2 linked regions of the Callithrix jacchus genome follow. The protein of the gene in region 1 purifies or fractionates together with the protein of each later gene. This does not show direct contact. Links are inferred from orthologs where the notes say so. Each region holds a gene or a part of one and is shown on either strand. Other genes may lie near its edges.

What was found.
Region 2: the proteins of SAE1 (region 1) and SUMO3 purify together in Homo sapiens (affinity purification with mass spectrometry; 3 studies listed by BioGRID and IntAct, with this or other methods). This does not show direct contact. The link is inferred for Callithrix jacchus from reciprocal best matches to the Homo sapiens genes SAE1 and SUMO3.

Annotation. Positions count from the first base shown.
Region 1 is NC_133523.1:41,080,124-41,096,028, reverse strand, and holds the start of SAE1 (SUMO-activating enzyme subunit 1), read right to left. Parts: upstream 9,948-15,905; 5' UTR 9,894-9,947; coding exon 9,796-9,893; intron 1-9,795. UniProt on the Homo sapiens protein: The heterodimer acts as an E1 ligase for SUMO1, SUMO2, SUMO3, and probably SUMO4. It mediates ATP-dependent activation of SUMO proteins followed by formation of a thioester bond between a SUMO protein and a conserved active site cysteine residue on UBA2/SAE2.
Region 2 is NC_133522.1:50,467,846-50,483,912, forward strand, and holds the start of SUMO3 (small ubiquitin-related modifier 3), read right to left. Parts: upstream 7,721-16,067; 5' UTR 7,627-7,720; coding exon 7,606-7,626; intron 3,028-7,605; coding exon 2,899-3,027; intron 1-2,898. UniProt on the Homo sapiens protein: Ubiquitin-like protein which can be covalently attached to target lysines either as a monomer or as a lysine-linked polymer. Does not seem to be involved in protein degradation and may function as an antagonist of ubiquitin in the degradation process.

The sequences.
Region 1 (15,905 bases):
CCCTAGCCGGGCACGGTGGCTCAAGCCTATAATCCCAGCACTTTGGGAGGCCAAGGTGGGTGGATCACGAGGTCAAGAGATTGAGACCATCCTGGTAAACATGGTGAAACCCCGTCTCTACTAAAAATACAAAAAGTTAGCTGGGCATGGTGGCATGGGCCTGTAATCCCAGCTACTCAGGAGGCTGAGACTAGAGAATTGCCTGAACCCAGGAGGTGGAGGTTGCGGTGAGCCGAGATCGCGCCATTGTATTCCAGCCTGGGTAACAAGAGCAAAACTTTGTCTCAAAAAAAAAGCCCTAAAGTAGGAGTGCTTGGCACATTATAGGGACAGTAATGACAGAGAAGCTGAAAAGCTGTAACCAGGGGACACATCATGAAGGCTCTTACATGCAATGGAAGGACTCTGGATTTTCTTTTAAGCATAATGGAAAGCCATGGAAGTGGGAACATGTCACAGTTAAGGTAAGGGAGGATGACGGTAGCTCATACTAGCATGACAGCTGAAGAGGTGCTGAGAAGAGGCACTAGTTAAGTATAAACACACAAGCAAAATAAATGCTGGCACAAAAAAAGGATGTACACAAGAATTTATCTTTTTTTTTTTTCCTGAGACAGAGCCTTGCTCTGTCGCCCAGGCTGGAGTGCAGTGGCAGGATCTCAGCTCACTGCAACTCCCACCTCCCAGGTTCAAGTGCTTCTCCTGTCTCAGCCTCCTGAGTAGCTGGGATTATAGGTGCCTGTCACCAAGTCTGGCTAATTTTTGTATTTTTGGTAGTGATGGGATTTTATCATGTTGATCAGGCTGGTCTCGAACTCCTGACCTCAAGTGATCCGCCCGCCTCAGCCTCCCAAAGTGCTGGGATTACAGGCATGAGACACCGCTACTGGCCTTGATTTTCTTTTTAAATCTTATAAAGTGACAGAAATGAGGCTGAAAAAAGGGTAATCAGAAGGGCTGGGCGAGGTAGCTCAGGCTTGTAATCCCAGCACTTTGGGAGGCCGAGGCGGGTGGATCACGAGGTGAAGAGATCGAGACCATCCTGGTCAACATGGTGAAACCCCATCTCTACTAAAAATACAAAAATTGGCCGGGCGCGGTGGCTCATGCCTATAATTCCAGCACTGTGGGAGGCTGAGGTGGCTGGATCACAAGGTCAAGAGATCGAGACCATCCTGGTCAACGAGGTGAAACCCTGTCTCAACTAAAAATACAAAAATCAGCTGGGCATGGTGGCGTGCACCTGTAGTCCCAGCTACTCGGGAGGCTGAGGCAGGAGAAATGCTTGAACCCAGGAAGCGAAGGTTGCAGTGGGCCAAAATTGTGCCATTGCACTCCAGTCTGGGTAACAACAGCAAAATTCTGTCTCAAAAAAAAAAAAAATATACAAAAATTAGCTGGGTATGGTGGCGTGTGCCTGTAGTCCCAGCTACTTGGGAGGCTGAGGCAGAGAATTGCCTGAACCCAGGAGGCGGAGGTTGCAGTGAGCCGAGATCGCGCCATTGCACTCCAACCTGGGTAACAAGAGTGAAACTCGGTCTCAAAAAAAAAAAAGTCTGGGACAATAAATCTCCTCTCCATAACCTACATTCCTACTTAGCTCTACAGACTCTGCTCTGAAGTTTTTTAAAATTCATTACTCAGCCAGGTTTGGTGACTCACACCTGTAATTTCAGCACTTTGGGAGGCTCAGGCGGGTGGATCGCCTGCGGTCAGGAGTTCAAGACCAGCCTGTCCAACATGGTGAAACCTGATCTCTACCAAAAATACAAAAAAAACTATGGCCCGGTGCAGTGGCTCACATCTGTAATCCCAGCACTTTGGGAGATCAAGGTGCTCAGATCACTGGAGTCCAGGAGTTCAAGACCAACCTAGCCAACATGGCAAAACCCCATCTCTCTCTCTCTTTTTTTTTTGAGACGGAGTTTTGCTCGTTACCCAGGCTGGAGTGCAATGGTGCGATCTCGGCTCACCGCAACCTCCGCCTCCTGGGTTCAGGCAATTCTCCTGCCTCAGCCTCCTCAGTAGCTGAGATTACAGGCACACGCCACCATGCCCAGGTAATTTTTTGTATTTTTAGTAGAGACGGGGTTTCACCATGTTGACTGAGATGGTCTCGATCTCTTTACCTCGTGATCCACCTGCCTCAGCCTCCCAAAGTGCTGGGATTACAGGCTTGAGCCACTGCACCCGGCGGCAAAACCCCATCTCTACTAAAAAATACAAAAATCAGCCAGTATTGGTGGCAGACTCCTGTAATCCCAGTTACCCACGAGGCTGTGGCAGGACAATCAGTTGAACCTGGGAGGGGAGGTCGCAGTGAGGCAAGATCATGCCAGCCTGGAGGACAGAGCAAGATTCCAAATAAAAAAATATATATATATATTAGCTGGTAGTGTTTGGTGGCAGGGACCTATAATCCCAGCTTCTTGGCAGGTTGAGGCATGAGAACTGCTTGAACCCGAGAGACAGAGGTTTCAGTGAGCCAAGACTGTGCCACTGTACTCCATCCTGGGCAACAGACTCCATTTCAAAAATAAAATAAAATTCATTACTCAAATGGCATCAACACTAAATATCATGTTTATGCTTTGTTTTGTTTTACTGAAACAGGGTCTCGTTCTATGAACACAGACTGAAGTGCAGGGCTCACTGCAGCCTCAGCCTCCCAGGTTCAAGTGATCCTCCCACCTCAGCCTACTGAGTCCTGGGACTACAGGTGCACACCACTGCACCTGGCTAATTTATGGGGTTTTTTTGTAAACATGGGGTCTCACTATGTTACTCAGGTTGATCTCCATCTCCTGGGCTTAAGCAATCCTCCTACCTCTGCCTCTCCCAAAGTGCTGGGACTACAAATCCCCAGCAGACAGATCAACTGAGGTCAGGAGCTCAAGACCAGCCTGGCCAACACGGTGAAACCCCATTTCTACTAAAATTACAAAAATTAGCTGGGCATGGTAGCAGGAACCTGTAATATCCGCTACTCCAGAGGCTGAGGCAGGAAAATCACTTGAACCCGGGAAGTGGAGGGTCCATTGAGTTGAGACCGCATCAAACTCTGTCTCAAAATAAATAAATATACACCCAAGTGGGCACAAAAATAATATACATTCACAGCATCATCATCCATCTACTTCCCTCGACTTCTACATCCACCACCCTAGTCTGAGCGACCATCATTTCTCTCCTACAAAACTACAGCAGGCTGGATACAGTGGGTCACACCTGTAATCCCAGCAATTTGGGAGGGTGAGGCCTGAGGATCACTTGAGCCCACAAATCCGAAACCAGCCTGGGCAACACAGTAAGACTCCGTCTGTACAAAAAAAAAAATTAAAAATTAGCTGGGTGTGGTGGCGCAAACCTGTAGTCCCAGCTACTCTGGGAGGGGTGAGGGACTTTGGTGGGAAGATCACCTGAGCCCAGGAGGTCGAGGCTGCAGTGAGCTGTGATCAAGCCACTGTACTTCAGCCTGGGAAAGAAATTGAGACCCTGTCTCAAAAAAACAAAAACAAAAAAAAACCTATAGCAGCCTTAAACCTGCTCCTTCTGCTTCCATTCTCAGCCTCTACAATCCACCAACTTCCTTCTCAGGAAGGTCTATTAAAATGTAAACCAGATTGGGCTGGGCGAGGTGGCTCACACCTATAATCCCAGTATGTTGTGAGGCTGAGGAGGGCAGATCACAAGGTCAGGAGTTCAAGACCAGCCTGGCCAAGATGGCGAAACCCCGTCTCTAGTAAAAATACAAAAATCAGCAGGGCATTGTGGTGCACGCATGTAATCCTAGCTATTCAGGAGGGTGAGGCAGAGAATTGCTTGAACCCAGGAGGTAGAGATTGTAGTGAGCCGAGATCACACCACTGCACTCTAGGGCAACAGAGAGAGACTCCATCTCAAAAAAGAAAAAAAAGATTATATCACTCTCCTGGGCAAAATCTTTCAATGATTCCCTATGTAAGCTCCTTACCAGGGACTCTCTTTTTTCTTTTCTTTTTTTTTTAAGACAGAGTTTTACTCGTTACCCAGGCTGGAAAGCAATATCGAGATTTTGGCTCACTGCAACCTCCGCCTCCTAGGTTCAAGCAATTCTCCTGCCTCAGCCTCCCAAGTAGATGGGATTACAGGCATGCACCACCACGCCCGGCTAATTTTGTATTTTTAGTAGAGACGGGGTTTCTCCATGTTGGTTAGGCTGGTCTTCAACTTCCAACCTCAGGTGATCCACCTGCCTTGGCCTCCCAAAGTGCTGGGATTACAGGTATGAGCCACTGTGGCCAGCCACCAGGGACACTAAATACTCTCTTGTCTCAGTCTCATTCTACTCTCTCCCTTGGTCACTTGCTTACAGCCCTGCCAGCCTTCCTTGTTCCTAGAGATCATGCTTGCTACCCACTTAGGACCTTGACATTAGTGGTTCCCACTGTTTCTTTCCTCAACTTCTTGAAGGATACATTCTTTAGGTCTCAGCTCAACTGTCATCTCCTTAGAGAAGTCCACACTGGCCACTTAATTTAAAATAGGTCCACATCCTCTTCCATCTCAAATTATATTATTTGTTTTTGTTTTGATTGAAATGGAGCCTCACTACATTTCCAAGCCAGTCTCAATCTCCTGGCTCAGGTGATCCTCCAGTCCCAGCCTCCCAAGTAGCTGGGGTCACAGGCACACATCACTGCACTAAGCTACACTACTTGATTATATGTTGACTGCCCCCTCACTCCAGAAACCACTGTATCCCTAGAACCAATAGGTGTCCTTAGCATTTAGGACATACTGTTACTCAAATGGCTGTGAATTAATAGACACACCAAAACCTGTGTCGATTAGTAGAATTATAAAGATCAGGTACAAAATAAAATAATAATAGCCAACATTTATTGAACATTTACTGTGTGCCAAGCACTATTCTAAGCTCTTTGTATGTATTATGTCATTTAATGCCCATGACAATCCAATGGGCTGGTACTTTGTTATCTTTCTTTTACAGATCAGACAACAGGCACAAAGTTAACTTCTGGCCAGGTGTGGTGGCTCATGCCTGTAATCCCAGCACTTTGGGAGGCCGAGGTGGGTGGATCATGAGGTCAAGAGATTGAGACCATCCTGGTCAAACAAGGTGAAACCCCGTCTCTACTAAAAATACAAAAATTAGCTGGGCATGGTGGCACGTGCCTGTAGTCCCAGCTACTCAGGAGGCGGAGGCAGGAGAATTGCTTGAACCCAGGAGGCGAGGGTGCGGTGAGCCGAGATCGCGCCATTGCACTCCAGCCTGGGTAACGAGCGAAACTCGGACTCAAAAAAAAAAAAACAAAGGAACTCCAGTCTCCAGAGTTCTCCTACCCCACCTAGAGCCCTCTTAGAGGCAAGTCAATTTGTTCTGTGGAGCCTGCTTCCTCATCTGAACAGAGAAGAACACTGCCCTTCCTACTCCAGAGAGCTGCCATCAAACTCAGGTGAAGGCCAGGCACAGTGGCTCACCCCTGAAATCTCAGCATTTTGGTAGGCCAAGGCCAGCAGATTACCTAAGGGCAGAGGTTGAAGACCAGCCTGACCAACATGGAGAAACCGTCTCTACTAAAAATATAAAATTCGCTAGATGTGGTGATGCATGCCTGCAACCTCAGCTATTCAGGAGGCTCAGGTAGGAGAATCACTTGAACCTGGGAGGCAGAGGTTGCCATTAGCTGAGAACACACCATTGCACTCCAGCCTGGGCAACAAGAGGGAAATTCCATCTCAAAAAAAAAAAGACTGAGGTGAAAATGCAATCCCACTGCCATGTATATACCCACCCCCCCCCCCAAAAAAATCAGGACGAGTATGAAGGCTCACCCCTGTAATCACAATACTTTGAGAGGCCAAGGAGGGCCAATTACCTGAGGTTAGGAGTTTGAGACCAGCCTGGCCAACAGAGCAAACCCCAGCTCTACTAAAAATACAAAAATTAGCCAGGCATGGTGGCAGGTGCCTGCAGCTACTCAGGAGGCTGAGGCAAGAGAATTGCTTGAACCTGAGAGGTGGAGGTTGTACTGAGCTGACATCGTGCCACTGCCCTCTAGCCTGGGTGACAGAAGGAGACTCTGTCTACAGAAAAAAAAAAAAACAAGAGGATACCTGCACTCCCATGTTGACTGCAGCACTCTTCACAACACCCAAGACTTGGAAGCAAACCATGTGTCTAACAACACATAAAGACATTTTGGTACAAAGGCTGGGCATGGCGGTTCACGCCTATACTTCCAGCACTTTGCAGGGAGGCAGGAGGATTACTTGAGCCCAGGAGGTGGAGACAAGCCTGAGCAGCATGGCGAAACCCCACCTCTACTAAAAAATGAGTTGGGCTTGTGGCATGTGCTGTAGTCACCGCTACTGGGAGGCTGAGGTGGGAGGATCACCTGAGCCCAAGACTTCAAGGCTGAAGTGAGCTGGCTGTGACTGCACCACTGCATTCCAGTCTGGGCAACAGAATGAGAGCCTGTCTACCAAAAAAAAAAAAAAAAAAAAAAAAAGAAATTAGATTCTGTCATTTGCAACAACATGGAGGGAACTGGCAGAGGTTATTATGTTAAGCAAAATAAGGCAGTGAAAGACAAACTTTGCAGGTTCTCACTTATTTGCGGAAGCTAAAAAAATTACAACATTGAACTCATGCAGATAGTAGACTGATGGTTACCAGAGGCTAGGAGGGGTAGTAGGGGTTGGAGGGGAAGGAGGATTCAAAAATATAATGAAATACAATAAATAAGATCCGGTATTTGATAGTACAACACGGTGACTACAGTCAACAATTTGTTGTACATTCCAAAATAACTAAAAGAAGCCGGGTGATGGGGGTAGGACGCAAAAAAAAAAAAAAAAAAAAAAGAAGCCGGATGTGGTGACTCACACCTGTAACCCCAGCACTTTGGGAGGCCAAGGCAGGTGGATCATGAGGTCAAGAGGACCTCATGTTAGGACAATCCTAAACATGGTGAAACCCCATCTCCACTAAAAACAAAAAAATTAGCTGGGTGTGGAGGCATATGCCTGTAGTCTCAGCTACTGGGGAGGCTGAGGCTGGCGGATCGCTTGAACCCAGGTGGCGGAAGTTATAGTGAGCTGAGATCGCTTGAACCCAGGAAGCAGAGATTGCAGTGAAGTGAGATTGCACAACAGCCTGGTGACAGAGTCAGACTCCCAAAAACTAAGAATATAATTGCATTGTTTGTAACACAAAGAATAAGTGCTTGAGGTGATGGATACCCCATTTACCCTGATATGATTATTACCCATTGTATGCCTGTATCCCCAAAATATATCCACCTGCTATGTACCCACAAAAAAAATTTAATTTCTAAAAGACTCAGCTGAAAATGGACACAAAAACACTTTAATAAATTCTCTAAGACTCTCTGAGATTATCTAAAAATACAAGTACAAATGACAGATAACCTCTTCCCTCCCTCCCACAACCCTCAGCCAATGCTTTTCATGTTCTCCACCAAATTCAGTACAGCTCCACTCCCTCAGAATAACTCCCACCTCCCACAAATTTCACGTCCTGACCTTGACTTGTCCCTTAGGTCATCTCCCCACTCAGAGGCCCCCATCCATTCTTTACTGCTGCTCAGATAAACCATTCCTATCCCTCTGAAAGTTCCCTAACTACATTCCAGTTTTAACACCACCGACTTTGCCCCACTTCAAACAACACTACCTGACAATCATGCCTGGGCCTCTGGGAATTTGCACTTGCTGTTTTCTTTGCTGGTAAAGTTCTCCCAGATGACCATAGGGCTCTTTCCTTTCATTCAAGTCTTAGGCTCAATGTTACCTCTTCAGAGCCCTTCCCTGGCCAACCTATCAAAAGAGCCCTCCCACTTCACCATCCTTTAGTGACAGATCAATATATATACATATAAACACGTTTGTGGATTTTTTGATTTTTTGAAACAGGGCCTCACTGTGTCGCCCAGGCAGGGGTGTAGTGGTGCTATCACAGCTCACTGCAACCTCCACCTCCCCAGGGCTCAGGTGATACTCCCACGTCAGCTTCTCAACTAGCTAGGACCACAAACTGATGTCACCATGTCCGGCTAATTTTTCTATTTTTGTAGAGACTGGGTTTTTTGAAACCTTACCCAGGCTGGTTTCAAACTCCTGGGCTCAAAAGATTCCCTTTCCCTCCCTTCGACTCAGCTTCCCAATGCTAGGATTACAAGCATGACACTGAGTCCCCACTAAGTAAAAATATTGATCAGTGCATGGTGGCTCATGCTTGTAATCCCAGCATTTTGGGAGGCCGAGTGTGGGGTTGGGGAAGGGCTCTCTTGAGGCCAAGGAAAGCTTGATCCTGGGAGTTCAAGACCAGTCTGCAACATGGCAAAACCCCGTCCCTACAAAAAATATATATATACTCAAAAATTAGTTGGATGATGTGGTGGGGCCAGCCTGTAGTCCCACCTAATGGTGAGGCTGAAGTTAGAAGATCACTTGAGCCCTGGAAGTGGAAGCCACAGTGAGCTATGATCATGCCACTGCACTCCAGCCTGGGCAACAAAGAGAAAAAAAAAAAGCAGGAGCAGTGGCTCACGTCTGTAATCCCAGCACTTTGGGAGGCCGAGGCAGGCAAATCATTTGAGGTCAGGACAAGACCAGCCTGGTCAACATGACAAAAACCCATCTCTACGAAAAATACAAAAATTACCGGGCGTGGTGGCGCGAGCCTGTAATCTCAGCTACTCAGGAGACGGAGGTGAAAGGGTGTTTTTGAGGCCTGAGGCTGCAGCGAGACAAGATTGCCAGACTGCTCCCCAGCCTGGGCAACAGGGCAAGACTGTCTCAAACACAGAACAGTTGTCCAGGCGCAGTGGCACACGCCTGTAATCGCAGCACTTCGGAAGGACGAGGCGGGTGGATCACCTGACGTCAGGAGTTCGAGACCAGCCTGGTCAACATGGCGAAACCCCGTGTCTACTAAAAATACAAAAATTACTCGGGCGTAGTGGTGGGCCCCATAATCCCAGCTACTCAGGAGGCCGAGGCAGAAGAATCTCTTGAACCCGGGAGGCGGAGTTTGCAGTGAGCCGAGATCACCGCACAGAACTCCAGTCTGGGCGACAGAGAGAGACCTCCTCTCAAATAAAAAACAAAAACAAAAAAACACCCATCCCAAGCTACCCCACAATGTCCAAACTAAGTCTTCTGTCCTGTGAAGGCACGGTCCCCTAACAGACACGGCGACCGTTTCGGTGCCGCCGTCCTCCTCCAGACTCTCCCAACCTCTCAAGATTCCCATCTGGAGATAAGTTGCTCCAAAACTCCTCAAAAGCCGCGTTCTTTCAGCCTGGCCCGCCCCCGGGCACCCACAAGAATGTACGCTCCTTCTGCGGGGTTAGCCAGTCCAGCCTCCCCGAGGCCAGCACAGAACAGGGTCCCCCACCTCAGCCTTTCCACGTTATCCCAGCCCCTCTAGTCCCCTACCCGCGACCCAAACCCCACCATCACCGCCCTCGGGCCTCGGATTTCCTGAGTTTGAATCCTCCCTCAGGACTCCCCAACGCCCCCTTCAGAGGCCTCCCATCCTTCGGAACAGACCTGCCGACATCCTGAGACGTCCCCACTTCCTAGACCTTCCAGAAACATCCCCAATCAACTCCTCCAGTCCTCTCAGGAGCGACACGATCCCGGTGCACATAACTCCCGCCTCCTCCCTTCAAATCACACCTTCCCGCTCCCTCCGGGCCGCAAACGCCTCAGACTAGACACCCTCTCCAGACCCCGGGCGCCTCAAGCCACGCCGGCCCTGACCGTTTCTGGGCCTCAAGGCCCCACAGGCGGATCTGCCGGTCATACTGCGCCGCCTCCTCCTCGCTAATTCCGCCGCCAACCTCCTCCTTCTCCACCATGGCGCCGGCTCTTCCAGCCTCAGCTCTGGACCCGCTCGCACCAACCGCCCACCCGCCCTGCGCGCCCAACCGCCGCCGGCAGCACGCCCGGAGTGCTTCTGCGCAGGCGCAGATCTCCCCACGCCTGCGCAGTACCTCGACCGTGGAGGCTGGAACTAAAAGTACCTCACAAGACTCACGGGCGGTCCGGCTACTGTAAGTCACGTGACACAGGCTCAAACCAATCCTGGCCCCCAAAATGGCGCGGCTTAAGGACCCTAGGGCGTTACCCACGTGGTCACTTATGAGGCTCTTAAATTCTGCAAATATTTAAGGAGCGCACGCTGAGATACCTGCAATAGGGTTACTGTAAAATGAGTATTGAGAGGCTGGGCGCAATGGCTCACGCCTGTAATCCCAGCACTTTGGGAGGCCGATGCGGGCGGATCACGAGGTGAAGAGATGAGACCATCCTGGCCAACATGGTGAAACCTCGTCTCTATTAAAAATACAAAAATTAGCCGGGCGTGGTGGTGTGCACCTGTAGTCCCAGCTACTAGGGAGGCTGAGGCAGGAGAATTCCTTGAACCCAGGAGGCGGCGGTTGCAGTGAGCCAAGATCGGGCCATTGCACTCCAGCCTGGGTGACAGAGTAAGACTGTGTCTCAAAAAAAAACTCATGCCTATAATCCCAGCACTTTGGGAGGCTGAAGCGGGCAGATCACCTAATGTCAGGAGTTCGAGACCAGCCTGGCCAACATGGTGAAACCGTGTCCCTACTAAAATTACAAAAATTAGTTGGACGTCGTGGTGCGTGCCTGTTATCCCAGCTACTCAGGAGGCTGAGGCAGGAGAATGGCTTGAACCCGAGAGGCAGAGGTTGTATTAAGCTGAGATCGCGCCATTGCACTCCAGCCTGGGCGACAGAGTGAGACTCTTGTCTCAGGAGGGGAAAAAAAAAAGATGTTTTTCAGATCCTGAATTCCAGCAAAACAACTGATGCCAACCAGTGTGAAGACTCCCACAGAGGAACCAAATCAACAGGAGTAGAGAGTTTCTTCATCTCCCTGTTCCATGAATGTAGGGTTTAGCCCTACAGGGTTCTGTGAGCCCCTTTTTACAGGTGTGGAGACAAGAAACTGGAAATAAAAGACACAAGACATGCCGGGCGCGGTGGCTCAAGCCTATAATCCCAGCACTTTGGGAGGCCGAGGCGGGTGGATCACGAGGTCAAGAGATTGAGACCATCCTGGTCAAACAAGGTGAAACCCCGTCTCTACTAAAAATACAAAAATTAGCTGGGCATGGTGGCGCACGCCTGTAATCCCAGCTACTCAGGAGGCTGAGGCAGGAGAATTGCCTGAACTCAGGAGGCAGAGGTTGCGGTGAGCTGAGATCGCGCCATTGCACTCCAGCCTGGGTAACAAGAGCGAAACTCCACTTCAAAAAAAAAAAACAAAAAAAAAAACAGCTGGCGCTTTCCCAGCGCTGGCACTGCCGCACAGCCGAGGCGCCCTCCAGCAGCCCTTATGCGGGCGTTACAGAAGCTTAGAGCATCCTGCCTTAGGATTGCTTTGTTCACAATGTCACCTCACTTTTATGCTTTATTACCCAATAATTATTAGTAAAATTAAAAGGTTATATTAAGTATATATATCTGTATAATAATATATAAATAACTGTATAACTATATATGATTTTATATATATAAATAACTATGTGCTTATTTTTCTCATTCTTTTCTAATTCAATATTTATATAGGAACAGGCTAAGGCTTTAAACCCTTATCTTGGCACTTGTGGGCTTCCCCCACACACACACACATGATTTCACCCTTCACTCTTCAACCAACCAATGACCTTCACACTTCAACCTACCCCAAAACCCCTAAAAAAACCCTACCCCAAACTCCCTGGGGAGGTGGATTCGTGGTTTCCTTCCATCTCCTCCCTTGGTTTTCAGTGGCCCTGTGATTAAATCTCTTTCTCGCCAAGCGCGGTGGCTCACGCCTGTAGTCCCAGCACTTTGGGAGGCTGAGGCGGGTGGATCACGAGGTCAAAAGATCCAGACCATCCTGGTCAACAAGGTGAAACCCCGTCTCTACTAAAAATACAAAAATTAGCTGGGCATGGTGGCGCACACTGTAGTCCCAGCTACTCAGGAGGCGGAGGCAGGAGAATTGCTTGAACCCAGGAGACCGAGGTTGCGGTGAGCCGAGATTGGGCCATTGCACTCCAGCCTGGGTAACAAGAGCAAAACTCCGTCTCAAAAAAAAAACAAAGAGAGAGATCGAGACCATCCTGGTCAACAAGGTGAAACTCCGTCTCTACTAAAAATACAAAAATTAGCTGGGCATGGTGGCGCGCGCCTGTAGTCCCAGCTACTTGGGAGGCTGAGGCAGGAGAATTGCCTGAACCCAGGAGGCGGAGGTTGCAGTGAGCCGAGATCGCGCCATTGCACTCCAGCCTGGGTAACTAGCGAAACCCCGTCTCAAAAAAAAAAAAAAACCCACTAAAAGAAAAAACTTTCAACAGGCCAGGCACAGTGGCTCATGTCTATATTCCCAACACTTTGAGAATATCACTTCAGGTCAGGAGTTTGAGACTGTCAAACGCAAGCCAGACCCTGCTACAAAAATTATAAAAATTAGGCCAGGCATGGTGACTCATTCCTATAATCCCAGCACTTTGGGAAGCTGGGACAGGAGGATCACTTGAGGTCAGGAGTTGGAGACCAGCCTGGTTAACATAGTGAAACCCTGTCTCTACTAAAAATACAAAAATTCAGGCCAGGCGTGGTGGCTCATGCCTATAATCTCAGCACTTTGGGAGGCCGAGGCGGGTGGATCACGAGGTCAAGAGATCAAGACCATCCTGGTCAATGAGGTGAAACCCTGTCTCTACTAAAAATACGAAAAGTAGCTGGGCATGGTGGCGCGTGCCTGTAATCCCAGCTACTCGGGAGGCTAAGGCCAGAGAATTGCTTGAACCCAGGAGGCAGAGGTTGTGGTGAGCCGAGATCAAGCCATTGCACTCCAGCCTGGGTAACAAGGGTGAAACTCTGTCTCAAAAAAAAAAAAAAGAAAGAAAGAAAAAAGAAAAGATGGTAATTCTGAAAGTCTATGGCATATAATAATTTTTAACTGGTTAGGGAGTGACCCAGATTCTTACCTGTGCCTATGCAGTAACGCCTGTAAAATGATCACTTTATGAAAAAAAACTCTGAAAATAGAGCTAATTGCTGCATAAATTATTTTCTCAGGGCCGGGCGCGGTGGCTCACGCCTGTAATCCCAGCACTTTGGGAGGCCGAGGCGGGTGGATCATGAGGTCAAGAGATCGAGACCATCCTGGTCAACATGGTGAAACCCCATCTCTACTAAAAATACAAAAATTAGCTGGGCACGGTGGCGCGCGCCTGTAATCCCAGCTACTCGGGAGGCTGAGGCAGGAGAATTGCTTGAACCCAGGAGGAGGAGGTTGTGGTGAGCCGAGATGGCTCCATTGCACTCCAGCCTGGGTAACAAGAGTGAAACTCCATGTCAAAAAAAAAAAAAAGAAAGAAAAATTATTTTCTCCTGTACTTGTAGACTCATCAAAGGTCTAAAAGTGTCTCCCTTTCCTCTCCTCATTTCTACTTTTTTATAGTTTATGGGAAAAAAATAACTGTAATGGTATAGCCTCATATCTGGAAATATACACCTTTTTTATTTATTTTATTTTATTATTTTTTCCCCTAGATATGGGGTTTCTCTGTGTTGGTCAGGCTGGACTCAAACTCCCGACCTCAGGTCATCTGCCCACCTTGGCCTCCCAAAGTGCTGGGATTACAGACGTAAGCCACCACTCCAGGCCTATACATCTTTTTTTTTTTTAATTTTATTGAGGTGAAATTCACGTAATATAACATTAGGCAGCATTTTGAAGTGCACAATTCAGTGGCTTTTAGTACTTTTACCATATTATGCAACCACCACCTCTATCTAGTTCCAAAACATTTTCATTATCCCAAGAGTGGCGGCATAAATCTTCTAAATTGTCAGGAGTCAACCATGACTTTGCTATGTAAACAATTTCAAAGGGACTGGAATAGTTCAGTGTTTCAGCTTAGTATAATTTAGTATAAACAATCTTTTTGCCACTTTTTAAGAGCTATCGTTAACTGCATTCATTGGGTGATTATTCATTAGGAATGCTATATGCCAGAACATCTTGGCATGCCTGGTCCCTGTCCTCTAGTCTCAGTCCCTGTCCTCTACTCTCATCATTGTGACGATGACGAAAGGTACGTTTCCAAAACGCTCCCAAGGAAGCAGCACTGTACCCTTGAGAAACCCAGTCGCTAATTTTCCTTAATAATTTCCAAAATGTCCTCTAGGGGGCAACATTATCCCTTGAGAACCAAGTAGACCAATCATTCCTCTTCCAGCCTGGATCTCAGTACCTCTCACCTCTTCAATTAATCTACAGTTGGATTAGCAAGGAAGAAAGGGAAAAAAGCTATGGGTTGGTGATCAGCAGGCTCCAACACAGTGGAATGGCTCTCTTTGGCCAAGGGTCTCCTCCGTTGTTCTCCAGGTGTCTCCAGGGGTCATTGACAAATGGTGGTGTTTCTTCCACCTCTATAGGAACATCTCCGTGAATCCTCCTCATCCCCAGTCTGAAGAAACCACCCTAGAGCCATCCCAGGAACCAGAGAAAAGACAGGTCTTTCATTAGCATAATAATGTACTGGCCAGGCGCAGTGGCTTACACCTGTAATCCCACCACGTTAGGAGGCCAAGGCAGGAGCATCACTTAAGGCCAGGTGTTCAAGAGCAGTCTGGGCAACAGAGTGAGACCCTCCTCTACAAAAAAGAAGAAAATAGCCAAGTGTGGTGGTGTGCACCTGTGGTCTCAGCTACTTGGGAGGCTAAGGCTGGAGGTCACTTGAGCCCAGGAGGTAGAGGCTGCAGTGATCTGTGATGGTGCTCCTGTACTCCAGCCTGGGTGACAGAGGGACACCCTGCCTCATCATCATCATCATCATCATCATATCGTACCAAGAGCAGAACGAAACAGGTGCCATGCAAGTATTAGCTGACTTATGTGCATTTCAGGAGGTTCAATTAAAAAAAAAAAGAGGACCTGCCAGCCCGGAGATGTTTTGGAGGCACAGGAGAAAAGTTACGTTAGGATTTTGTTTTCCACGAAAAACAGGGCAAGCTGCTGAAACTTTCCCTCCTTCCTTCCTTCCTTCCTTCCTTCCTTCCTTCCTTCCTTCCTTCTCTTTCTTTCTTTCTTCTTTCTTTCTCTCTCTCTCTTTCTTTGTTTCTTTCTTTCATTTTTGTGTGAGACAGAGTCTAGCTCTCTCATCAGTTTATGGGAAAAACTGGCGACAGAGCGAGACTCGAGTGCAGTGGCACAATCTCGACTCACCGCAACCTCCACCTCCCAGGTTCAAGTGATTTCCCTGCCTCAGCCTCCCGAGTAGCCGGGACTACAGGCACGTGCCACCATGCCCAGCTAATTTTTTTTTTTTGTATTTTAGTAGAGACCGGGTTTCACCGTGTTGGTCAGGATGGTCTCAATCTCCTGACCTTGTAATCTGCCCATCTCGGCCTTCCGAAAGTGCTGAGATTACAGGCGTGAGCCACTGCGCCCGGCCGTTGCTGAAACTTTCATCCCCTACCCACCCACCCTTCAATGGAAAAGGCGGTAAGAGACCGGGCGCGGTGGCTCACACCTGTAATCCCAGCACTTTGGGAGGCCGAGGCGGGTAGATCACGAGGTCAAGAGATCGAGACCATCCTGGTCAGCATGGTGAAATCCCGTCTCTACTAAAGATATAAAAAATTAGCTGGGCATGGTGGCACGTGCCTGTAGTCCCGGCTACTCGGGAGGCTGAGGCAGGAGAATTGCCTGAACCCAGGAGGCGGAGGTTGCGGTGAGCCGAGATGGCACCATTGCACTCCAGCCTGGGTAACAAGAGCGAAACTCCGCCTCAAAAAAAAAAAAAAGAAAAGGTGGTAAGAAAGAGCCTTTGGGGGACCGGC
Region 2 (16,067 bases), on another chromosome or scaffold:
TGCATCTGCTCCCCCTTGAAGCCCCAATGAAATGACGGAAATGGAAAAGGCACAAACAGCAAGGACAAAGAAAATGGGTGCGGGGATGGGCAGAGATGTCCCGCTGGGCTGGGCCAGAGGCTACCAAGGCGTGGACACTGCTGGTCTGATGGACACTGTGCTAGAATCCTGGAGCGGAGGGACTGGGCAGGCCCCAGCCTGGGAAGCAGGGCTGTGGCAGGCAGCTGACATTGAAAAGCTGGCTGGAAGTTCACATGCAGAGCCCTAAGGCAGGACCCCTACAACCCCGTGCCTCCCACCGCAGCACACAGGAGGTCTGCTTTCTGAAGAGGTGGGTGCAGAGGTCCAGTCGCAGGGCGGAAGCAGGCCCATGGAAGCCAGTGTCCTCAACCCTGTGCACCGAGCCCCCTCTCTCTCTGGATATGCCCCTAGGAGGCTGGCCGGAGCGTAGAGGACTCAACTGTCAAACTGCAGCATCTGGGCACCTCCAGAACCCCCAATCCAGACAGCTCACCCCACGTGGATGCACAGCCCTGGGAGCACAGCCATCCAGGTACACAGCTTCTCAGTGCTCCATGCTTGCACAGGAGAAGTCAGCCTTCGTGAGAGCAGTCAGGGAAAGGCTCAGAAAGGAGGGGAAGAGCACAGAGGAGAATGGAGAGGGAGGAGGCAGGAGAATGCTCCCAACACAGGCCTGTACACACACACACCCCTCACACATACACACACATGCGCATACACCACACCCACCTACACACACGAAGTAAAACATAATACTACCTTCAGAAAACAATAAACTACTGAGGATGGGGGTGGTGGCTCACATGTGTAATCCCAGCACTTTGGGAGACAGAGGCAGGAGGATCACTTGAGCCCAGGAGTTCAAGACCCACCTGAACCACATAGGGAGACCCCTATCTCTACAAAATAAAAAAATTAGTCTGGCATGGTGGTATGTATCTGTAGTTCCAGCTACTCAGGAGGCTGAGGCAGGAGGATCACTTGAGCCCCAGGGGTCAAGGCTGCAGTGAGCCATGATCTCACCGCTGTGCTCCAGCTGGGAGAATAGAGAGACCCTGTCTCAAGAAAATAAATAAATTGCTACTGAGAAAAAAAGAACACTCAAAGAACAGAAAGAAAAAGGAACTTTGCCGGGTGCGGTGGCTCACGCCTGTAATCCCAGCACTTTGGGAGGCCCAAGCGGGTGGATCACGAGGTCAAGAGATCGAGACCATCCTGGTCAACATGGTGAAACCCCGTCTCTACTAAAAAGACAAAAAATTAGCTGGGCATGGTAGCGCGTGCCTGTAATCCCAGCTACTCAGGAGGCTGAGGCAGGAGAATTGTCTGAACCCAGGAGGCGGAGGTTGCAGTGAGCCGAGATCGCGCCATTGCACTCCAGCCTGGGCAACAAGAGTGAAACTCTGTCTCAAAAAAAAAAAAAAAAAAAAGCAAAAGTTGCTTTCGGCCATGCAGTGTCTCAAAGACGCTGCCCTTCTGTGCCCTCTCTGACACAACCCTGGAGGATGTGCTCCACCACCAAAGGGAGGAGGACAGATCCAGGAAACACCCAGGGGAGAACCAAGTTTCTAGAAGGATGTGAACAGGAGGCCCTGGGACCACGACTGTGCAGCCAGCCTCACAGGCAGCAGTGCAGGTGGGGCAGGCAGGGAGCCCTGGAGAGCAGTGGGAAGAGCAGAGCCAGAGACATGTACACAGCCCCACACGCCTGCCATCCTGCAGCACAGCAGACTATGCGGGCACCTGGGAAGTCATATACACAGTGACCACCAGCCCAGGCAGCACACACTCCAACAAGGGCCAGGGTCCAGCACCAGGCAGAGGCTGGGTCGCTCACTCTGCTGGGAAGATCGGGGCCTGCATGTCCAGAAGCTCAGTTTCACCTTTTGCAGGTGAAAATAAGATCTGCCTTCAGCAAACAGAAGTCAGAGGGGCTGCTTGCCAACAGCGTGCAAGGTGGTGGCCAGTGACTGCCTCTCACAAGCAGGGTATCAGAAGCGCGAGGTAAAGAGGAGAAAATCTAACTGAAAATCCATAGGCAAGAGAGTAAAATAAAAGGGCGACGAGTTGCTGCATTTTCAAAACAGCTAAAGAAAAGCAGCCTCCAGGTCCCACTCAGGGAAGCAGGGCTCCCTGGGGAAAGGCACCTGGCTGCAGGGCCAGACCCCCAACACTCCAGGCAGCAGCCAGCAGGCAAAGCCCATAGGAGTGGCCTGGAGAGGGACCCCCTGGCCCAGGGCGAGTCCTCCGAGCACTACCAAGAATGACTGACACGCACACACATACCAAGTCCACAATCACACAGCAACCAGAAGGCGTCCGCCCAGCAGGGCACTGCCAGTGAGGCAGCTCATTATCCTGAAACTGGAGAAGGAGGAGAAAGAATCACACACTTTCTTTCCTTTCCTAACAAAAGGGAAAACCACACTGCAGATGAGGGCACTGTTTCTCCCGGGCTACTCCAGCTCATATGCAAGGACAAGGTGACAGTGCCATGGGGCACACGCCACCTGCAGCTGCAGAAAGGCCAGCCCCGGGCAGGGCTCCCAACAGCCTTCAGCATCACAGACTTCACAGATGTCAGTGCCCCATGAAGAACACAGCCCCCAGGAAGCCGCCTTGTCAGGAAGAAAACCCCACTGCACTCATCTGAGCCTCCAGGGCCCCCCGCCACATAAAAGGCCGTGGGGGCACAGTCAGCAAGCCCAGCCTGGGCCAAGTTTACAACACAAGCACCCGCCCACCCGCCTGTCCGTGAGGAGGGCGCCTCGAGCAGCTGCAGCTGGGTCCAGCCCCGACACTCATGTTCCCGGGATGCCTGGAACCCACGGGACCTGCACACACGCGGGAAGCCGTGCGGGGGGCCGAGGCGCGCACCTGCCTCTCGCAGTAGGCCTTCATCAGCTTGCTCAGCGGTGTGTGCCTCTTGATCTTGAACTGCACCACGGAGCCGTCCTGCCCGGCCACCTTCAGGTTGATGTGGTCGTTCTCTGTCTTCACGCCCTCCTGCAGGGGACACCAGAGACTGGCCTCAAAACTGTGTCTCAAAATAACCGCGACTTTGCAGGGCAGGTCCTTAGGTGACCATCAGCTCTTTGAAGTCCTTAAAGACAACCTAGTTCTTAAAACTGTCCAGGAGTCGGAATCACTCATGTGATTGTCTCATTTTTACACGGAATTGATTTTTAACTTCCACTTGTTAAGCATCTGTGGGTAAAACAATGCGAATCTACAGTCCTCTAACATGGTTAATTCAAAGAAAACCCGTTTAATAAAGCTAGGGAAAAATCAGAGAAGATCCATCTTTATTTTAAAGTGATTCTTGTGGGCTGGGCACAGTGGCTCACACCCATCAACCCAGCACTCTGGGAGGCTGACGTGGGAGGATGGCTTGGGCCCAGGAGTTTGAGACCAGCCTGGGCAACACAGCAAGACCCCATCTCTTTTTTAAAAAATTATTCTTATGAAAGCAGTAAAAAGACATATCCACAAGTCACTACAGCTATTCAGCACTAGTAAAAGAAACCAAAACAGAACAAAACATTTGCGACTCAGAGGGACCCTGTGGGTCATTAAAGTGGTGACCTCAGGAATGCAATTGAGGAGAGCCGCTTCCCACGGCGGGCAGCCAGGCTCCTTCTCACTGCCCTGTCATTGGCAAATGTGAAGGGAGCCATCTCCGAGTACTTTCTGGTTTCAAACTGTCCCATCTGAGAGCAGCGGGTAGCATTTTATTTTTTAATTCATGCCATGCTTGAAGCTGCTCAGCAAGGCACAATCAGCGTGTCTTGTTGCCTGGAAATGCATTTTCAGTTGAGGCAAGAAGCCGATGTCAACAGATTGGGAGCCAACTTCGGGGCAGCTCAGTCTGAGCAGCAAAGTGGGACACCCCTCAGGCTGCCTGCACTGCTGGGTGAAGCCGTCTGAGTGAAGCGACGGGGCATCTGAACGTCAAGTCTGGAGCACCCTGGTACCTTCTCACCCTACGCGGAGGTGCTCCCAGAGGGAGCACTGTACATTCCTGGAGACCCTTGGGGAGGTATGGTGCTCTCTGTCAAGGGAGCAAGAGTGGCCTGTGAGGGGCCCTGGCAGTGAGGGGCTCCAGCCACAAGCCTGAAGATGTATATTCTGAGGTGGCACTCACCCCCCAACTCCAGTCTTGGACCAGGCATCCCTGCCCACTCCAGGGAGGACACTGGCTTCGCAGCAGCTTGAGTGGTGAGCTGGCACACCCCCATCCCCCCACCCCCTCACCCCCAATGTGGCCTCCAGCACAGAAAAAACTGGCCCAGGAAGTGAGGGCATGCAGACCACTCCGGGCAGGATGTTAGTGGGGACCCCTGCATGAACCCCCTTCACTTCCCCAAGCATGAGGACTCACTGGTTTCTTTAGGGAAGGAAGATATGGGTGTGTTCAAAGGCACAGATGCAGGACCCAGACCTGCCCACACCGGGCAATGGCTGCGGCCCCGGGAGAGGCTGGGGCAGGGCAGGGCCAGCCACAGCACCTCTGCCCCATTAACAGCCAGATGCCAGGAATGAACAGTCTGTTCCAGATCCCTGGTGAATTCCTAATAAACAAATGAACTCGTGAGTTAAAAAATGAAGCCCTGGGCCGGGCGCAGTGGCTCACGCCTGTAATCCCAGCACTTTGGGAGGCCGAGGCGGGCAGATCACAAGGTCAAGAGATAGAGACCATCCTGGCCAACATGGTGAAAACCCGTCTCTACTAAAAATACGAAAATTAGCCGGGCATGCTGGCAGCTGCCTGTAGTCCCAGCTACTCGGGAGGCTGAGGCAGGATATCACTTGAACCCGGGAGGTGGAGGTTGCAGTGAGCTGAGATTGCGCCACTGTACTCCAGCCTGGCAACAGAGCCAGACTCCGTCTCAAAAAAAAAGAAGCCCTAAAAACATGGACCCCAGTTCACTACAGGCAATCCTCTGCCTCAGCTATTCGGGGAAGTCAGAACTATTCTCCACCTGACCCAAAAGCTCTTCTTCCCAGCACCACTGGGTCCCAGGGTCCACTTCTTCCCCTTCCTCAGAGGCCCAGGGCAGAGCTGCTCCCACACACACGAAGGGGACCCACCACAAGTGGGTCCGGTGAGGTGGCAGCCATCAGTCATTCCGGAACTGAACAAGTATTTTCAACGGAATTGGACCCTGAAGTTGAGCACGTGGCAGAGCTAGGTTTAAACACTGCTGAGAAAATGGGTCTCATAGGTTCTTCATTTACTCTTCGCTAAGAGGAAGCTACCTACAAAAACACAACAGACACTTATCCTTGGCCTAGTTTTTTTGCTTTTTGTTTTTTGGAGTCTGAGTTTCACTGTCACCCAGGCTGGAGTGCAGTGGTGCGATCTTGGCTCACTGCAACCTCTCCCGCCCTGGTTCAAGAGATCCTCCTGCCTCAGCCTCCCAAGTAGCTGGGACTACAGGAGTGTGCCAATACGCCTGGTTAACTTTTTGTATTTTTAGTAGAGACAGGGTTTCATCATGTTGGCCAGGCTGGTCTCAAACTGCTGACCTCAGGTGATCCACCTGTATATCTGGCCTAGTTTTAACAAGTATTTAAATATTCCAACAACCCCAGGGGTGGAAGAAGTTTGAGTTCACTGAAGTCAAACTGTAAAAAGCAAAGGTCACTCCAAACACTGGATAGAGGTTTCCCTGGAGTTTCACTACACAGCAAGTGGAGTGCAGCCTTCCAGAGAGACCCCGCCCGTGGTTCCAGGAGCTTCAATCCCAGTTCCCACTAGTGTCTAGCACTGAACCTCCACGCTCACTTGTAAACGGAGGGTGGTCACCTCCAGGACCAGGCCAGTATCAGAGACAGCCTCCTTACAGAGTCTTCAGCTCTAGTCATCTTCCACTGGGATATGACACCATCTTCCACTTGGTCGACAGTGCACACCAAGGGCTTCAGAAGTTTCTCTTTCTTTTTTTGAGACGGAGTTTCGCTGTTGTTACCCACACTGGAGTGCAATGGCAGGATCTCGGCTCACTGCAACCTCCGCCTTCTGGGTTCAAGCAATTCTCCTGCCTCAGCCTCCCAAGTAGCTGGGACTACGGGTGCGCACCACCATGCCCAGCCAAGTTTTGTATTTTTAGTAAAGATGGGGTTTCACCTCGTTGACCAGGATGGTCTCAATCTCTTGACTTCGTGATCCACCCGCCTCCGCCTCCCAAAGTGCTGGGATTATAGGCCACCGCGCCCGGCCTAAGTTTCTCTTTTTTTTTTAGGCTAGTCAAGTAGTTTCTGTTTTTTTAATCCTGGTCAACATGACTACAGACCCTCCCAAAGACAGGCCAGTGCACCTTAGTGAAGGGTGCACACCCCAGGACTGAGACAGGATTGCATACTCCAGTGTGGCAATCGAGGAAACTAAAACACACCCAAGGCTGGCTAAGGAGGGGTGGGCATGCATAGGGGATGGGCGCAGACAGGGGTGGGGGTGGGGTTGGGAAGGGTGGACGCACACTGGGGAACCCGATGGGGAAGGGTGGGTACACAACGGGAGGTGCGATGGGGAGGGGGTGGGCGCACACGAAGGGGGATACGATGGGGAGGGGTGGGTGCACACTAGGGAACGAGGTGAAAGGGGTGGGCGCACACGGGCGCACATGGTGGAGTGGGTGGGTACACACGGGGAGGGATGGGTGCATACTGGGGACACGATTGGGGAGTCTCGAAGAGAGGTGGGCACACACCGGGGATGCGATGTGGAGGGGTGGGCGCACACGGGGAAGGGGGGTCGCGAAGGGGAGGATGGGTACACTGGGGGCACGATTGGGGATCGCGAAGGAGAGGGGTGAGCACACACGGGGACACGATGTGGAGAAATGGGTGAATACCAGGCGCGCGATGGGCACCCTGAAAGGATGGCAGAGCTGTTCACAGGGGCCAAGCCCCTCAGAGCACGCCCCTCCGGGGTAACCCCGGACGCTAATCCCAGAGCCAACCCGTGCGCTCAACATGCGACCCTCCCAGGGCGATGCGGCGGGAGAGGGCGACGCCACCGGGCAATGACTCAAGAGAAGGCCACGCAAAGACGCCTCAGGGGCACCGCCGGGGCGAGATCGGAGGGCGCCGCGCTGGGCAGAAGCAGCGCGGGGCCCACACCCGGCGCAAGACCTGCCGCTTCCCGGCCGGGGAGGGGCGGGGCGTGGAGCAAGGGCGTGGCCAGGCCCGGCGGGGGCGGAACTGGAGGCACAGAGCGCTTCGGGGCGGGGCGCGCCTTAGGCGGTTCCACTTCGGGGCGGGACACTACAAGGGGTGGGGAGCGGGGCGGAGCCTGGCTATGGGAGGAGAGAAGGGGCGGAGTCTTGTTGGGGGCGGAGCCGGGCTGGAGGCGGGGCGCGCCGCCGAGCGCCGCCGGGCGGGGGAGGGGAGCGGCGAGCCGGGCGGAGCGGGGGAGGGGAGGGAAGAGAAGGGACGGGAGCGCAGGCGGCGCCGCCGGCCTGGGCGCGGGTCCCCGAGGTCGCCGCGGTTTCCTCGGGCCGACGGGGAGCGGCGCGCGTCGGCGGACGCGCCCAAGACGCCCGCGATGGCCGCGCGTGCAGACGGGGGCGCCGCGCTTACCTTGGGCTTCTCCTCGGACATGGCTGCTCGGGCGGCGCGGGCAGGCGGCGCGGGGGAAGCAGCGCGGAGCGGGCGAGTCACGCTCACGGCCCCGCCGCTCTCCCGCCGCAACTGCGCGCGGGGCCGCGCTTTATCCCCCAAATCCCGGCGCGCTCGTTGGCCGGCGGGGGGTCACGTGTCTGCGCGCGTGCACGAGGCGCGCTCCCTGGGGCGTCGGGCGCGCGCTGGCCTGGCCGCGGCTCCCGGCGCTTGGAGATGCGTCACGGGGCGGGTCCGGCGCGACCCCGGCGGGCTCAGACGGCCTAGGGCACTGGGGTGCGCGGGCCAGAGGCGCGTGCGGGGAGCCCGGGCCCTGGGGACCCCTGCCTGCCTCCCCTCCCGCGCCCTGGCCCCGACTCCTTTTCTGGGGACAGCGTTCCTGGGGTGCGGGAAGTGAGGCCGGGCCGCAGCCCGTGAGGCGGAGGAGGGAGGCCCCTGGGGGCGACGTTCCCTCTCGGGAGCCGCGGACGGAGCGGACAAGGCGCCCGCGGGGTCCCGGCCGCCGAGGCCGCGCGAATCAGGCCCGCACCCGGGACGGTTGGGGGCGCCACGCGGCTCCTTGCAGCGGCAGCTTCCTGTCCGTTGTCAGCCCGGGCCGGGCTCCCTCGGCCGCCGCTCCCACCGGGCTGTGCCGGGCCCTCAAACCCGTCCTCAGGAAGACCCGTTTTACCTACGAGGAAACTGAGGCACTGGGCGGCCCAACCATCCCCAGGTCAGCGCTGGTGAGCAGCGCCGAGCGCGGGCAAACCCAGGCTGGACGCCGCCGGTGCCGGCGGAACGGGGGCTCGCGGATGCGGGAAACGCGCTGGAGCGCGGGGCCGGCAGGGCCTCCCCGGACTTGCGGCGCCATTCCTGGGGTGCCCGGCCCTCCCCGCCTCCGAGTCTGTGATCCCAGGTTCTCGGATGGAATGCGCGTGAGGGCGGGCACCCCTGCGTCCCTCGGCAGTGCCAGGGCGGTGCCATCCGGGCATGGCGGAGGCGGGGGAGCCGGACCCCGCAGGCTCAGCCGGGAAAGGGCAGGACCTGGATTTGAACCTAAGCCTCTGAGCCGGGGACGGCCCAGCCAACCGAGCGCGGTCGCAAAGCCAGGGGACAAATCTTAGCGGACCGTAACTTCCACTCTTAAGAATTGGCTTTCTTGGCTAGAGCCCCCACTGAGGAGCGGGAAGGCCGGGGAGGTCTCTCGGTGAGAGGGTCGGACGGTCAGCCCAGGTCCCAGGGTGTGGTCCCATCTTTCTGGAACCTGGAACCCAAGGCCTCGCAGAGGATGCGGAGGTGGGCGGCCGGCTTAGGCTGTCTTGGGAGGGGGACCCCTGCAACCAGCCCCTTGCGAGGGGAAGCGGGGCTCAGAGCCCCTAGATTGCTGGTGGGGAGAGTCGCAGGGCAGGCCGACTCCGAGACACTGTTGATCCTAAAACATAAGACCACACGGTAGCACGGACATTAGATTCCCACGGGCTGTGGATAAGGCAGCCCGCTTCATGTTGTGGACGTGAGAAACACGCAGCTTAGAACTGATGACACGTGGAGCCCAGGTGTGTTACCACTCGCGGTTAAGCCAGGTGCATTCCTCTGACAAAAAGCCGTGTCACGAATATCAAGGATGCTCAGATGACATTCAGTTTTCAAGAGCAGGCTAAAAGATGATGGTGGTCCGAATCAAGTCATGCTGTGTCTGCGAAGAAAGAACGCTGCTCCCACACTCTGACCTGCCCCAAATCCTTCCTGTGACCACAAAGATGCAAAAAGGCTCCACTGAGCTGCGGGGACACAAAGGGCACTGCTGGTAGACCAAACACCAACAGGTTTCTGAAGGACACAGCCAAAGGGGATCGAATGGACCAGAGAAACCAGAGCTCAGGAAAAACCAGGGCCTACCATGAGCACAGGGTCCAGATCCGAGACTGCCAGAGCCCGTCCTCAGTGTCGCCAACACCTGGTGATGGTCCCAAGAAGACTTACAAGAAGGCAGGAGCTGGGAAATGAGTAAGAGGATTGCTGACGTGAAAGCTCAACCCGTGTGCTGACTAGGAGAGGGGTCCTGGCTGAGGACACAACTGCCAAAGTCACAGGACTCTCCCATGACAGAGAACTAAAGAGAGGGAAGGTGGGAAGCCAGGACACTGGGCCTCAGTACAGGAAGGGCTGTGTCCACCTGACAGGAGCTACAGAAGGAGAAGGTGGAAAAAAGGAAGGCAGGACAAAAATCAAAGGATTGAAGAAAGTATCTCTGAGGCCCAGTGCAGTGGTTCCTGCCTGTAATGCCAGCACTTTGACAGACTGAGGCAGGTGTATTTCCTGACGTCAGGAGTTCGAGACCAGCCTGAGCAACATGGTGACGACCCGTCTCTACTAAAAATACAAAAATTAGCCAGGTGTGGTGATGCATGCCTTTAATCCTGGCTATTTGGGAGGCTGAGGCTGGAGAATCGCTTGAACTCAGGAGAGGCTGCAGTGAGTCGAGATCACACCACTGCACTCCAGCCTGGGCAGAAGGACGAGACCTTGTTTTAAACAAAAGAAAATAAAATTCTCTGAACTAAAGAAATATTTGACTCTATAAATGGAAAGGACCCCTGAGTATTGAATGGCTGAGAGAAGACAGACACTGAGATGGGTGGTGTGAGGAGAAATGCCTGAAGCATTCAGAGAAGTTTTTCCTTACAGTTAGGAAGGACTGGTTGCCTCAGACAAACCCAAGAAAAATAGCTCAAAAATCGGTATAAAATATTTTTAAATCTGTTTAAGTATATCGGATAGTTACAAAAACAAATTTTTCTCTGAGGGGCAAAGACCTCCCACCACCTCAGGAAAAAGGCAAGTTGTTTTTTGTTTTTTTTTTTTTCTTTGAGGCATTTGGTGATAAGTATCCTGTATTATTCAGCCCAGACTTTCATAAAAAAATACAAACCATGGATAGTTATTTCCCAGCCTCCAGGCAGTTCTGGAGACTGGAAGCCCAAAATCAGTGAGCCATCAGGGTTGGTGTCCAGTGAAGCCTCTCCTCCCAGCTCGTATGTGGCCACCTTGGCATGTTCTCACATGGCCTTTCCCCTGTGTGTGCAGATGGAGAGATCTCTGGTGTCTCTTCCTCCTCTTGCAAGGACACTGGTACTATGGGATTAGGGCCCCATCCTTACCACCTCCTTAAAGGTCCTATCTCCAGATGAAATGGGCTTCACTATGTGAATGCTGGAGGACACAATTCAGTCTCACATATGCACTGGGAAGAAGTTGACACTCTGAGTGAGCTTTTGAGTCTTACAGGGTTGGGGACGCAATAATTGGTGACGGCCCCCAAGATAGGCTCTGCTGAGTGACCCAGACCTTCAGCCGAGAGCACTGAGTGCTGCAGTAGGGGAGGAAGGCTGAGGGGTGACTGGATCATCCCTCTCAAAGTCTGAAATCAAGCTTCCAAAGGGCTCAATCCCAGACTCAACTGATCTGCCCTCTTTCCCAAGGCCAGCCTGAAGCAAAGGGAAATATACTGAGGAAAATAGCATCATCCAGGGCCTCAAACTAATGAAAATATTTCCATACACAATATCCGGATAAAGTTCACAAAGAAAACCAGAAGACAAATGATCCAAAGCCAAAATACATATAAGAAATAATCCCATGGAATTATTATGTCAACAGGATATTGACATTATCATACATAGACTTTAAAGGAATGTGATTAATATGTTCAAGAAAGTAGATTATGAGACGAAAATGTTCAGCAGAGAAGTGGGGTATATAAGAATCTAATGGAAATTTTCAAACAAAAAATATACTAGCTGAAGTTATAAATTCAGTGGATGTGTTTGAAACAGATTAGACACAGTGAAAGAGATAATTAATGAACTGAAAGATAGGTCAGAAGAAAATATTCAGAGTGGCCGCAGTGTAATCCTAGCACTTTGGGAGACCAAGGTGGGTGGATCACCTGAGGTCGGGAGTTTGAGACCAGCCTGGCCAATATGGCTAAACCCCATCTCTACTAAAAATACAAGAAATTAGCCAGTTCTAAAGCTCCCTTTTTTTTTTTTTTTTTTTTTTTTTGAGACAGAGTTTTGCTCTTGTTACCCAGGCTGGAGTGCAATGGCATGATCTCAGCTCACTGCAACCTCCGCCTTCTGGGTTCAAGCAATTCTCCTGCCTCTGCCTCTCGAGTAGCTGGGATTACAGGCACGTGCCACCATGCCCAGCTAATTTTTTTATTTTTAGTAGAGACGGGGTTTCACCATGTTGACCAGGATGGTCTCGATCTCTTGACCTCGTGATCCACCTGCCTCAGCCTCCCAAAGTGCTGGGATTACAGGCACGCACCACCATGCCCAGCTAATTTTTGCATTTTTAGTAGAGACGGGGTTTCACCATGTTGACCAGGATGGTCTCGATCTCTTGACCTCGTGATCCACCTGCCTCGGCCTCCCAAAGTGCTGGGATTACAGGCTTGAGCCACCGCACCTGGCCTCTTCAGCCCTTTAAAAAAAAAAAAATAGCTAGGTATGGTTGCAGTTGCCTTTCATTGCTTGAACCTGGGAGACGGGGGTTGCAGTGAGCCAAGATCACGCCATTGCACTCCACCTTGGGTGACAGAGCAAGATTCTGTCTCAAAAAAAAAAGAATATTCTGACAGAAACAGAGAAAAAATATGGGCAATATAGCAAAAGGCCTAAGAGATATGCAATATGGTGAAAAGGTATAATGTTTTTTTTTACATGGAGTCTCACTCTGTTGCCCGGGCTGGAATGCAGTGATGCGATCTCAGCTCACTGCAACCTCTGCCTCCTGGGTTCAAGCTATTCTTCTGCCTAAGCCTCCTGAGTACCTGGGATTACAGGCACATGCCACCATGCCCAGCTAATTTTTGTTTTTTTAGTAGAGACAGGGTTTCACCATGATGGTCTGGCTGGTATTGAACTCCTGACCTGGTGATCTGCCCACTTCAGCCTCCCAAAATGCTGGGATTACAGGTGTAATGCATTTATAAAATGGAGTAACACAGAGAGAGAATAGGCCAGCAGTGATATCTGAAGAAATAATAAGAGAATTTGTCAAAATTGATCAAACGTAACAAAACATAGATTACAAACATACTATCAACCACAATCAGAATAGATTTAAAAAAAAAAATGCTTGATTACATACTAAACCTGAAAACCAAAGACAAAGAGAATAGAAGCTGTAGGGGGGAGACCCCACAAGTGCCGTGGGGAGGGTCTGAAGCTTCAGCCTGTTCCCATGTAAATATTGATTTAGAAAAGAATTAGAAATGTAGGCACACAGTTATTCCTTTATATAATCATATATAATATTATAACTGCTCACTTATAACCAGAAAGATATGTACTCAATATAACCTTTAATTTTACTAATAACTATGGGGTTATGAAACATGGAACTGAGGTGACATTGTGAACAAAGTGATCCTAAGGCCAGATGCTCTAAGCCCTGTCACACCCGCATAGGGCTGCTGGAGGGCACCTCGGGTGTGCAGCAGTGCCAGTGCTGGGAAAGTGCCCAGTGTTTAGCCAGTAAGGGAAGGAGATATCCAAAATGGCTGAGACATCTCCTTCCTGGGGAAGTTAGGAGAAAACTCCGCTTCTCCAAGCTCTGTCAGGGAGGCCCACAGACATCCGGGGGCTTAACTGCCTCTCTGTGATGCTGTGCTTCAGTGATCATGTTCCGTGTCCACTCTCACGCTCTGCTTCTGCACCTAGTTTCTCTTCTTCTCAGAAGATAAAAATTAATGTCCTTGACATTTCCGACAAATATGTGAAGAGCGCTGACGCATTAGCTTTTCTCCTCGCCTCGGCTGCTTGAAAGTCCTGGGCCCCCTGTCTCCAAGACACAAGTTACCTGACCCTGCACTGACCACCATCACCTCACCCTGCCTTCCCTGACCCCTGCTTTGTACTCAATAAAAGTCAGAGTGTCCAGGCACTCGGTGCCACTGCAGGTGTCCACACTTTGGTTTGCAGTGGACCCCCCAGCCCAAACCCTCTTTATCTCTGTGTCTGTGTCTTTTATTTCTACAGTTTCTCATCTCCGCACCAGCAGAGAGGGAGATCCCTATAGGGCTGAACCCTATAAGAAGACAGACAGAGGAGAAACTAAAGGACTTACAGCTGACTTTGCAACATGAACATGGAAGCCATGTAACAATGGAATTAACATCTTCAAAGGGGTGAAAGAAAATAGCTGTCTACATAGAATTTTATACCCAATGACAAGATCATGTAAAGGTAGAAGTGAAATAAACATATTTCAGAAAAAGCAAATCAGAGAAATGTGAAAGGAAAATAAAATCTTGGCACCCAAATTCACTCTGTCAAAAGGAAAAAATTAAGCTGAAAGCTGAGTCCTGCAAGAAGCTGCATTTCCTTTGGTTCCTAAGCAGATAGTTACAGATAAAAGGTAAACATCTCTACCGGTAGCTGCTCTAAATTCACCTTATCTTATGGAAAATGCCAATTCAGTTTGCTGGTCATGAGATGAATGCACAATTGACTCTTCCCCAGTGGCTCCTTTTCTCTTGCACCGTGTACATTCAGTCATGTGATCACACCCTTCCTCTTTAAATACTAACACCCGCAAAGTCAACTTGGGAGAAAGGCACGGACCACAGACTATTTCTGTGATTCCATGTTTTTTTCTCCCAGGAATTGTCCTTATCCTTGGCGAAATAAACTTCTAAATTGATTGAGCCCTGTCTCAGACACTTTTTGGCTTAGAGAATTAACTGCGAGAAAGCACACACTAAAGTTAATACTAAAAGGATTTCTTCAGCAGAGGGAAAGTGGCCCCAGATGGAAGTATGAAGTACAGGAAAGAATAAAGAACAGTAGGGCCGGGCGCGGTGGCTCACGCCTGTAATCCCAGCACTTTGGGAGCCCGAGGTGGGTGGATCACAAGGTCAAGAGATGGAGACCATCCTGGTCAACATGGTGAAACCCCATCTCTACTAAAAATACAAAAATTAGCTGGGCCCGGTGGTGTGCACCTGTAATCCCAGCTACTCAGGAGGCTGAGGCAGGAGAATTGCCTGAACCCAGGAGGCGGAGGTCGCGGTGAGCCGAGATCGCGCCATTGCACTCCAGCCTGGGTAACAAGAGCGAAACTCCATCTCAAAAAAAAAAAAGGACAATAAAAAGGCTGTAAATCCGAGTAAATCTAGAGAGACACTAACTGCATAGAACAACAATAGTAATGCCTTCTGGAGTTCTAAATAGATGTGGACTTAGAATAAGTGATCACGAAAGCAGGCAGAATTAAAGTGTTCTAGAGTTCTCGCGGTATCTGAAAACTGGGAAAGGGGAGGACAGAGTTTTAAGACATTTTCAGAAACGCAAATACCTACCGGGGTTTCCATCCATGGATCCTCATTGAAAGAATCATCATGGATTCTCTGCAGCAAAGTGCAAATGGAACTCATGACAGACATTCAAGCAGGACCAGTGTGAGCTGTTGAGTGGGCTGTGCACTGCGCGGCTCTAGGACACCGCTACAGCATGATGGATGACTCAGAGTTCTGTGTTGTTTCCTGGCTGGGAAAAAAAGTGAGCAAGGAAACCAGCAAAAGTCATTGTTAATACTAAATACTTTGTGCTGCATACTGTAGAAAAAATACAGTGTCTGGGATTAAAATCACAGAGGATTATAAGCAGATGGAAGGGGCAGATACAGGAGAGGGAGAGAGGAAGAAGGGAAGTACAAGCATACTGCAGTTCTTATCTGGTTCAAGGTGAAAACAAAGATATTAATATCTGTTGATAGAATAATGGGAGTTTAAACACATAAAAATGCTCAAGTTATGTATGCATTTTTAAGTATGCATGTTTAATTTAAATGAAAAAGTGGTTTATAAAGAAAAAACTTTACCAGCCTGGTCAACATGGTAAAACCTTGTCTCTACTAAAATTACAAAAATTAGCTAGGTGTGGTGGCAGGCACCTGTAGTCCCAGCTACTCAGGAGGCTGAGGCAGGAGAATCGCTTGAATCCAGGAGGTGGAGGTTCAGTGAGCCTAGATGTCTGTTGCTCTCATTTTTATTGAATTGCAAATCTGGGGGGAGGGTACTAGGGCATGGTCTTGGTGGTCAGCTACTGGGGTTGGGGTAGATAGGGCGTGGCAGTGATAGGGTGAAGTACATCACGTGTCATGCAGGTAGGGCCCAAGAATTTCAGGTGGCTGAGATGAGGTAAGGAGCATAATGTGTCAGCACTTTTTCCACAGTGGTCAAGAAAGAACATAGACGTTAAGATTTACGTTACTTTTACTGATTATCCCTTCCAAGAAAAAAGAAACCAGGTGCAGAAGCGGAACATGAGAGTGGACATGGAAGGTGACCGCTGAAGCCCAGCATCGCATAGAGACAGTTAAGCCCCCGGATGCCTGTGGGTGTCCCTGACAGCGTCAGGCCGACCGCAAGAGCT